2 linked regions of the Macaca mulatta genome follow. The protein of the gene in region 1 purifies or fractionates together with the protein of each later gene. This does not show direct contact. Links are inferred from orthologs where the notes say so. Each region holds a gene or a part of one and is shown in the gene's direction. Other genes may lie near its edges.

What was found.
Region 2: the proteins of DNAJB4 (region 1) and BAG2 purify together in Homo sapiens (affinity purification with mass spectrometry; 4 studies listed by BioGRID and IntAct, with this or other methods). This does not show direct contact. The link is inferred for Macaca mulatta from reciprocal best matches to the Homo sapiens genes DNAJB4 and BAG2.

The regions. Positions count from the first base shown.
Region 1 is NC_133406.1:162,537,230-162,542,342, reverse strand, and holds part of DNAJB4 (dnaJ homolog subfamily B member 4), read left to right. Parts: intron 1-2,566; coding exon 2,567-3,135; intron 3,136-5,113. UniProt on the Homo sapiens protein: Probable chaperone. Stimulates ATP hydrolysis and the folding of unfolded proteins mediated by HSPA1A/B (in vitro).
Region 2 is NC_133409.1:125,109,059-125,114,171, reverse strand, and holds part of BAG2 (BAG family molecular chaperone regulator 2), read left to right. Parts: intron 1-3,723; coding exon 3,724-3,833; intron 3,834-5,113. UniProt on the Homo sapiens protein: Co-chaperone for HSP70 and HSC70 chaperone proteins. Acts as a nucleotide-exchange factor (NEF) promoting the release of ADP from the HSP70 and HSC70 proteins thereby triggering client/substrate protein release.

The DNA.
Region 1 (5,113 bases):
CAGTTTCTACAAGGAATTTCCCTAACTGCTATTTGGATATATTGTTCAATACATATTTTGACAATTTTCAGATTATTAGGTCTCTCTTGGTCTCTCCAGATTCTATTCAGGGATGAAGGTAAAAATTTAGATATCACTTGAGACTCTGTTAGATGAAATAGAGTGTATATATATACCTTTTAATGGAAGAAGCCAAATGTAGAATAAGACATAAGCAAAACTAAGTTTCTTTAAAGTATGCTGGTGTTAGTGGCATTTTAAATTGTTAAATCTCTTATATATGTATATGTGTGATTATATTTTACATTGTTTTTGCTTCTGCCTTTTTCTCTGTACTGATATGCAAGATACTTTTTTTAGTTTTGATTTAGAAGGACTTTAGGAATTAGTTCATTCCCTTCATTCACTAAGCGTGGATGCCTACCATTTTCAGCCCTGTATGCTTGAGCAATGCAAAATGAATATATTTCCTGCCTTCAAATCACTCACTGTTTGGAGATATTAGAATCTCCTAGCTTAACCTGTTGAATTTTTCATAGTTTTATGATCTTTAGATTCTTTTCCTGCTTGTTTCTTGGTCAGTATTGACCTCTAAAAGATCACCATACTGTTGTTTTTTGGGTTTTAGTAGAACATTTCTTTCACACATAGTGGAAAATGTTGTTTCAAATATAATCTTTTCTGGGTTAAATATTACTTAGTGGAACCTTTAAGCAAAGGGTCAAAAAGTCACTATATTGTTGCCTGAGGTGGATTGTTCACAAGAGACAGAAATAACCCATATAGAGGCCTTACATGTCAAAGTTTACAGCTCTTGATTTCAGTCTTCTTCTCATAAGCATTGAAATTAATGCTAAGATGTGGTATGCCTAGATAAACAAATTTGGCATCTAGAGAAGGAATGACAATTTTCGTGTCTAAAAAACTATTTTTCATTATTAGAATTTTTTTACTCTCTGCCACAGAGTTCTATTTTAATTTTTTTTTTTTTTTTTTTTTTTGAGATGGAGTTTTGCTCCTTTTGCCCAGACTGGAGTGCAATGGCTCAGTCTTGGCTCACTGTAACCTCCGCCTCCCAGGTTCAAGCGATTCTCCTGCCTTAGCCTCCCAAGTAGCTGGGATTATAGGCATGTGCCACCATGCCCAGCTAATTTTGTATTTGTACTAGAGATGGGGTTTCACCATGTAGACCAGGCTGGTCTCGAACTCCTGACCTCAAGTGATGCACCCGACTCGCTCTCCCAAAGTGCTGAGATTACAGGTTTGAGCCACTGCACCTGGCCCTATTTTAATTCTTAAACAGTAAAAGATGATCTGAAATAAAACTAGTTAGAATGAATATGGTATTTTTTATTACATTATATTTTTACGTATTTCTATTTTATTTATATATAAACAGTATGAATGTGGTATCTTGTATTTTACAATATATTTTATTAATATATTTATATTTTTAAATGTTATATATATTGTTTGATTATAATATAAATTAAATATTTAAGTTCTATACTTTGTATCAATTACTGAAGACCTTCCAACTGACATCTTTTAAAAACTTACATATTTATAAGTAGATACTTATATAATTTATATATTTCAGCATGCCAGATCAGTAGTTTATAAGATAAGAAGTTCCTAATTTTCTTTGCTTTTTCTTTTTTTTTCTTTTCTTTTTTTTTTTTTTTTTGAGACGGAGTCTCACACTGTTGCCTGGGCTGGTGTGCAGTGGCGCGACCTTGGCTTACTGCAACCTCCGCCTCCTGGGTTCAAGTGATTCTCCTGCCTCAGCCTCCCAAGTAGCTAGTATTACGGGCGCCCACCACCACACCTGGCTAATTTTTTGTAATTTTAGTAGAGACGGGGTTTCACTATGTTGGCCAGGCTGGTCTCAAACTCCTGACCTCATGATCTGCCTGCCTCGGCCTCCCAGAGTGTTGGGATTACAGGTGTGAGCCTCTGCGCCTGACCTTATTTTATTTTTCTTACTTACCTGAGGAACAAAGAATCAGGAATAAATTATTAAAGATGCTGATTTGGCCAGGAGCAGTGGCTCATGCCTGTAATCCCAGCACTTTGGGAGGCCGAGGCAGGCAGATCATCTGAGGTCGGGAGTTCAAGACCAGCCTGACCAACATGGAGAAACCTTGCCTCTACTAAAAATACAAAGTTAGCCGGGCGTGGTGGCGCATGCCTGTAATCCCAGCTACTCGGGAGGCTGAGGCAGGAGAATCGTTTGAACCCGGGAGGCGGAGGTTGCGGTGAGCCGAGATTGCACCATTGCACTCCAGCCTGGGCAAACAAGAACGAAACTCTGTCTCAAAAACAAAACAAAACAACAACAACAACAACAAAGAGTGCTAATTTGGAGGAAGAATTTGAAAACTAACAATTTAACTTAGGATGTAATCATTAAGAGTTTTATAGCTGTTCTGTATTTAAAGTGGCATTTCTGGCCAATATTAATACATTTTAATGTAAGTTAGCCAAAGTTTATTAGCAATACAGTTTTTGAAAGTTTAACTTGAGTTGCAAGCTTTTTTCTAATAATGCTTATCTCTTCAATTAGGGTTGAAAGGAGGAGCAGGAGGCACTGATGGACAAGGAGGTACCTTCCGGTACACCTTTCATGGCGATCCTCATGCTACATTTGCTGCATTTTTCGGAGGGTCCAACCCCTTTGAAATTTTCTTTGGAAGACGAATGGGTGGTGGTAGAGATTCTGAAGAAATGGAAATAGATGGTGATCCTTTTAGTGCCTTTGGTTTCAGCATGAATGGATATCCAAGAGACAGGAATTCTGTGGGGCCATCCCGCCTCAAACAAGATCCTCCAGTTATTCATGAACTTAGAGTATCACTTGAAGAGATATATAGTGGTTGTACCAAACGGATGAAGATTTCTCGAAAAAGGCTAAATGCTGATGGAAGGAGTTACAGATCCGAGGACAAAATTCTTACCATTGAAATTAAAAAAGGGTGGAAAGAAGGCACCAAAATTACTTTTCCAAGAGAAGGAGATGAAACACCAAATAGTATTCCAGCAGACATTGTTTTTATCATTAAAGACAAAGATCATCCAAAATTTAAAAGAGATGGATCAAATATAATTTATACTGCTAAAATTAGTTTACGAGAGGTAAGTTGGTAGGACCTAAAATCCTGAGACCAAATAATTATGTGGTTGATCATAGGGAGTATATCTAGATAATAGCTAACATTTGTTTAATGCCTATTATACGTTAAAAATAATTATTATAACAATCCTCTAAGATAGTACTGGTATTATACCTCTTATATGGATGTGATTATATTTTCTAACTTTAGTTACTTAGAATTAAAGTGTCAATTTTAAGTGCTAACTGGATTATGTACTATGAGGCTGCTTTTACAAATGTGCTTTATAAGATCTGCATTGGTAATCTCAACACATTAGGCCCTATATATAGGGTTTGTTCTAAAATTGTTAATATGGAGTAATAATTGCATAACAAAAAGGTATTAGAAGAAAATAATTTATAATTCACTATAAATAATAAATTTGTATACCTTTATGTTAATAAAAATACACATTTATAAGTTCATATAAATATATACATTTATAAATTATAATGGTACTGCATTAATACAGTTATTACTTGAGTTCTTATTTGCACTTTTTTTTTTTTTTTGAGACAGAGTCTTGCTCTGTCACCCAGATTGGCGTGATCTCGGCTCACTGTAACCTCCGCCTCTGGGTTCAAGTGATTCTCCTGCCTCCGCCTCCTGAGTAGTTGGGATTACAGGCGCCTGCCACCACACCCAGCTAATTTTTGTAGTTTTAGTAGAGACAGGGTTTTACCATGTTGGCCAGGCTGGTCTTGAATTCCTGACCTCAGGTGATCCACCCACCTCGGCCTCCCAAAGTCCTGGGATTACAGGTGTGAGCCACCACGCCCAGCCTATTTGCACTATTTCTCAAATTGGATTGTAACTCTGCAAATATGGTCATAGCAGTTCCCTGCTTCAAATTCTTAAATTGCTGTACATAACCTGTACCATAAAGTCCAAACTCTTTAGCTTAAAATAAGTAATTTTAAATCTGATGTCTACCCCTAAAATGTATATGCACTTCTCCAAGTTGGCTCTATTATTGTTATTTATTATTATTATCTTTTTGTGATGGAGTCTTGCTCTGTCACCCATGCTGGAGTGCAGTGGCACAAATTCTTGGCTTACTGCAGCCTCCACCTCCCAGGTTCAAGTGATTCTGCTGCCTCGGGCTCCCGAGTAGCTGGGATTACAGGTGCCCGCCACCATGCCCAGCTGATTTTTGTATTTTTAGTAGAGATGGGTTTTTACCATGTTGGCCAGGCTCATCTTGAACTCTTTTTTTTTTATTTTTTTTATTTTATTTTTGAGACGGAGTCTCGCTCTGTCGCTCAGGCTGGAGTGCAATGGCCGGATCTCAGCTCACTGAAAGCTCCGCCTCCCGGGTTCCTGCCATTCTCCTGCCTCAGCCTCCCGAGTAGCTGGGACTACAGGCGCCCGCCACCTCGCCCGGCTAGTTTTTTTTTTTGTATTTTTTTTTAGTAGAGATGGGGTTTCACCGTGTTAGCCAGGATAGTCTCGATCCTCCCGTCTCGGCCTCCCAAAGTGCTGGGATTACAGGCTTGAGCCACCGCGCCCGGCCTCATCTTGAACTCTTGACCTCAAGTGAACCGCCCACCTCGGCCTCCCAAAGTACTGGGATTATAGGTGTGAGCCACCCCACCCAGCCCAGTTTGCTCTATTATTATCTTGTATACTTGAGCTCTACTCTGTGGAACACTATTGTTTCTCACCCTGCTCTAATACCTACCTGCTGCTGGTCCAATGCTCAGTTCAAGCATCCTCTGCTCCCAGAATCTAAGGGGTTAAGTTGGGTGCTCTTTCTCTCACAAAAGACTTCCATGCTTACCTTTGTTCCTACACTATACAGTACTATAATGGCTAGTTTGCTTCTATGTTTCTTTGAGTTCCTTGTGCATTCCTTGAGCTGAGGTCTGTGTTCATGGTCCCTATAAGGCTCACCATCTAGCCGGAATGTGTGGCATATAGTAAATGTTCAGTAAACATTTGTTAGATGAAACAAATAT
Region 2 (5,113 bases), on another chromosome or scaffold:
GATACAACGGCCAAGAATTTTCTAGAACTAATGGAAAAATTGTAGACAAAAGACATGTATATGAGTTTAAGGATAGCAATAGCTGATGAACAATACAAACATTACTTAAATTAAGTAGAGCTCTAGGTTCAGCTTTTTAAAAGAAAAAATGTAAAATATGAGGTAGTCCAGAGAGTAAATGGATGTACCAGGGCCAAAGGGAGCATGAATTGCCTTAAGGGAGGGGATAGGGGAAGCTAAGGAAACAATTCCTGCCAGTGATTGGGTTTTGAAAAGGAATCACCCAGTAGACAAGGGTCAGGGAGAAAGAATGCTACCTGAAGAGGGAATCGGACATGAAAAGCCCATGTTGCCAAATAAACCCTGAGATCTTTACATTCTGGGAATGACATTTTACCTTTGCATGAAATGAAAAAAGTATACATAAAAATGTATATAAGAAGGTCTATAAATGATAAAATCTGGTTTTCACAGGGATAATGCCCTGGTAATTTCTATTATGTATTTTAAAAAGCCTTGTGGGGTTGGGGGGGGGTCCCAAAAACACAAAATTTAGCAGTTCCATCTAATTATTTGGTGTCATTTAATGATAAAATATTTTTTCATATGAATGATAGGCTTATTATTTTTTTCTAGAATGTCTTTTTTTATCTATTTTGTTAAGAACATGAACTTATTGCTGTAACTCGTAAATGAAACCTTCCTTTTCAGAATAGTGTTGTTCTCTCTTATCATCTTACAATTGAATACCAGCCGAAGAAGTGTTGAAAAATTAATCTCTTCTTTCAGCATCTTCTCATTTACCAATCAAATGATTCACCTGTGTCATTTGTCTAAATATTGGAGTCATGGTTTGTGCTTTTAGCATAAATATTTAGTGCCAACTCAGTCTCTTTCCTATGTTCTGGGCCCTAGTTTATCTTTCTGAGAGATTGCTAATGTAAAATGTTTAAGTAAATAGTGAATGGTCCTGGAATAGGGCCTGATACTTGCATTACTGTTACTTTGTAGAATATTGTATTTTGATTGTGTTCTCTAGCCAAATTTGTCACATGAGATTCTTCCCAGTTCTTTGCTTTTAGTGGCTCTTATAAACACAGACTTTGACATATATTTAATATCTTGAAGAATAAAGATATCCTGTGATGTTACAGCCTGTCAGTACTATTTTGGGGTATAACAGGTGGGTAACCGAAGGGGAAAAGGCACGTGTGTGCTTGGGGTAGGGGGAAGATCCTTTTATGGAATTGAACATGCTAAAACATTGGTGAAGTTGTTCTTTCTGTGCACACTTAAGACAGCAGTTAGGATTAGATCTCTCATGAACTTCTAAGACCATCCAAATACTGGGAATAGGTCTGTCACTATTTCATTTTGCAAAAGTTGGCAACTTACTGTAATTCATAATAATAAGGTACCCTGGAAGTATACAACATGTTAAATATACAATATGTATATTTTTATTTTGCTCTCATGATTCCCCAGCTTAGTTTTTTAGTGACTGGGCACAATTATGTGTATGTATAGTGTGAGTGCATGTGTGTGCAGTTGAGTGAAGTGGGGAAAGTAGCGCTTCTATAGTTTGATGAGGGTTTTACACAAAAAAGCCACAGAGACTTTCCCTTAAATTTGGGAAAAGACAAAGATACCCCCATCATTGCCACTGTTTAATACAGTACTGAAGGACCTTTTCTTAAAAAAAAAAAAGTAATAGAAAAGTAATAGGATTGGGAAGGAGGAAATAAAAACTATGGATGATATGGATATGATCATTTACCTAGAAGAACCAACAGAATCAACAGACTGAACACTAAAATGAATACATGTAAATCAAGGTCGCCAGTGACAAGATAAACCTACAAAGACAACACTTCTCAAACCAGTAAAAATCAACTAGAAAATACAAATTCACAAGAGCAACAATATCTACAAAGACTACTATGAAGAATACATGAGAACTCTATAGAAGATCTGAATAAATGAAGAGACATATATCATGCCCTTAAACAGAATGACGTTATAAAGATGTCGAATTTCTCTCATTTTTTGAGAAACACAATAAACGTACCCTAGAATTTATATGGAGAAGTAAAAGTCCATAAATAGTTAAGTTATCTTTAAAGAAGATTGAGGGGCATGTTCTATCAAATATTAAAGTATAGTACAAGGCTAGTGCTATAAACAAACAAAACAAAACTGGGCACTAGTATAAGAACAGTTAAATACACTAATGCATGGGATAGAGATTTTAGAGAGAAACTTAATACGCATTCGCTAGGGGAAAGATGGATTGTTTGGTAAATAATGTTGGGGAAAATGGCTATTTGAAAAAAAACAACATTCTTAACTAACTACATACAAGGGTTGATTCTAGGTGGATTAAAGACATAAGGAAGGTAGAACTATAAAGTTAATAAGAGAAAATATAGGAAAATATGACCAAGGGGTAGGGGGAAGACCTTAGGTCAAAACTTCAAAAGCATAAGCTATAAGGCAAAAAAAAAAAAAAAAAAAAAGATGAATTGGATCACATCAAAATAAGAGTCTCTCTTTAGTGCCAGACATCCCAGACGTGGTTCATATAAGAGAGGATGAGAGATGGCTGCAATGTCTGTAACCAACAAGAATTTCTTGAGTATACAAATCAGCAAGGGGACAGTAACTCCTGTTTAAAAATAGAAAAACAAAATAGGAAAAGTCTATGAATAGGCTAACAAGGATACAAAGAGATGTCTGAAATTATTAGGAAAACGCAGGTTAACCTGACATACTTCTACTACACTGGCAGCAAATAGAAAGTTGGCAAATGCGGAGTGTTGGTAGGGATATGGGGACTCCTGTGCTTTGCTGTGGAGAATGGACAGGTACAGGTATTCTGCAGAATAATCATAGTACTAAGTCAAAAGCGGAGTACACATACCCTTTATCTCAGCAATTCTGTCCTGGTATATGTCCTAAGGAAATCCTCACCAAGATCCAAAGGGGAGATGTATTCATAGAAGTGTTATTTGTAGTAATAAGAAGTTGGTAGACAACCTGAGTGTCCATCTCTGGGAGAGTGGAGAAGGAAAAGCAGGTAGGTATACACATGGAGTATTATAAAATATGTAGCACCAACTGATTAAAAGTACACATAGGGGGCTGGGTGTGATGGCTCACACCTGTAATTCCAGCACTTTGGGAGGCTGCGGTGGGCAGATCACTTGAGGCCAGCAGTTTGAGACCAGCCTGGCCAACATGGCGAAACCCCGTCTCTACTAAAATTACAAAAATTAGCTGGGCCCGGAGGCTGAGGCATGAGAATCAGTTGAACGCAGGAGGTAGAAGTTGCAGTGAGATCGTGCCACTGTGCTCCAGCCTGGGGGACAAAGCAAGACTGTCTCCAAAAAAAAAAAAAAAAGTACACATAGGATCCTGGATGCTAAGTGAAAAAATAAAAACAGAATGAGATATAAATTCAAAATATACAAATAATACAGATCTTGTAAAAACAAATACTATTAATTAGATAAACACTAAATAGAATTGCCTCATGAGCTGGAAGGAAAATAGGAGAAAGGCAAGTGGATAAAAAATAGAAAAATGAAAGAATTTTAAAGCAGAAATGAAGAAGTTTTGAAAAGTTTGGTGATCTTTAAACTTGATTTGGGTTGAATGAGAGATAAAATTAATAGGAAGAACATCCTGCATACAATAACCGTTTTGTTTTCCCAATTTCTATAGGGTTGAAGCTTTGAGAGAAGCAGCAACTGCTGTTGAGCAAGAGAAAGAAATCCTTCTGGAAATGATCCACAGTATCCAAAATAGCCAGGACATGAGGCAGATCAGTGACGGTGAGAGCCATCTCCACAGAAGGGGCTCGTCTTTTACACTCCTTTAAAGAGTTTATGATAAGTGTGGGTCAATTTTTGCTTGACTTTCGGTATGCGTATACTAGGCCACAGCATTTAATGTGAGCCACAGAGAGCAGCTGCAGCTGTCAGTTTATTATAGCAGCCACTTACTCAGAGATTTCTTCCAGCATGCTCTCTACCCCAAGCCATGGCTGGGAGAGATAGGAAAAAGCCTGCAAGCTCAGAAGAGCTGGCCCCAAGCAGTAAGGCCATGTGTTTTATCCCAGGTTCACACTCCTAACTTCAGTTCTTCACAAGTTACTGGACTGCAAGAGATTAAAAAACACAGAGGAAAAAGGGTGAGAATGGAAGCAGAGAAGTAGAGACCAAAAAAAAAAAAAAAAAGATGAATTGAGGTACAACATAAAGAGAGGGACAAAATGCAGAGAAAATGAGGAAACTTGTAGGACCAGTAAAAGGCATGAATGTAAAAATGTGCTGTCATTTTCTTTTTTCTTTTTATGAGATGGAGTTTCACTCGTCACCCAGGCTGGAGTGCAGTGGCACGACCTTGGCTCACTGCAACCTCCGCCTCCCGGGTTCAAGTGATTCTCCTGCCTCAGTCTCCTGAGTAGCTGGGATTATAGGCGCCTGCCACCACACCTGGCTAATTTTTGTATTTTTAGTAAAGACAGGGTTTCACCATGTTGGCCAAGCTGGTCTCGAACTCCTGACCTCAGGTGATTTTGCCTGCCTCGGCCTCCCAAAGTGCTGGGATTACAGGCATGTGACATCACGCCTAGCCTGTGCTGTCATTTTCATGTGAAGAACATGTAATAGGTAGGAATAGGTCACTTGTGATTTTCTTTTTATTGGCACTGGACTTCCTACTTGGGCTCCTTTGGTGCCACACAGGCCACATGTTACTGGGCCAAGTGACTGGTGAGATAAGTAAGCAATCTAAATCCAGATCAAAACTGTTACACATCTATGGTAGGCCATGATCTAGTCTCTACACTGTCCTGCCCAAAGATCAATGAATTAGGAAGTTACAGAAGCAGGAGATTGCTGACTTTTTCATATAAATAATGAAATGTTGATAGAGCTCCTCATGCCGGTCAAGACTTTAGACCACTGTCCTGTTTCTATCTGGAGAAGCATGAAGTCAGTGCCTAGTATTGATGCCAGCTTATCTTCTATCATGGCTATATTTTCTCAACCAAAATTTGGGGCAGTGTATTCTGATAAATGCACATGTCGTTATGGAGAGATCTGGGACA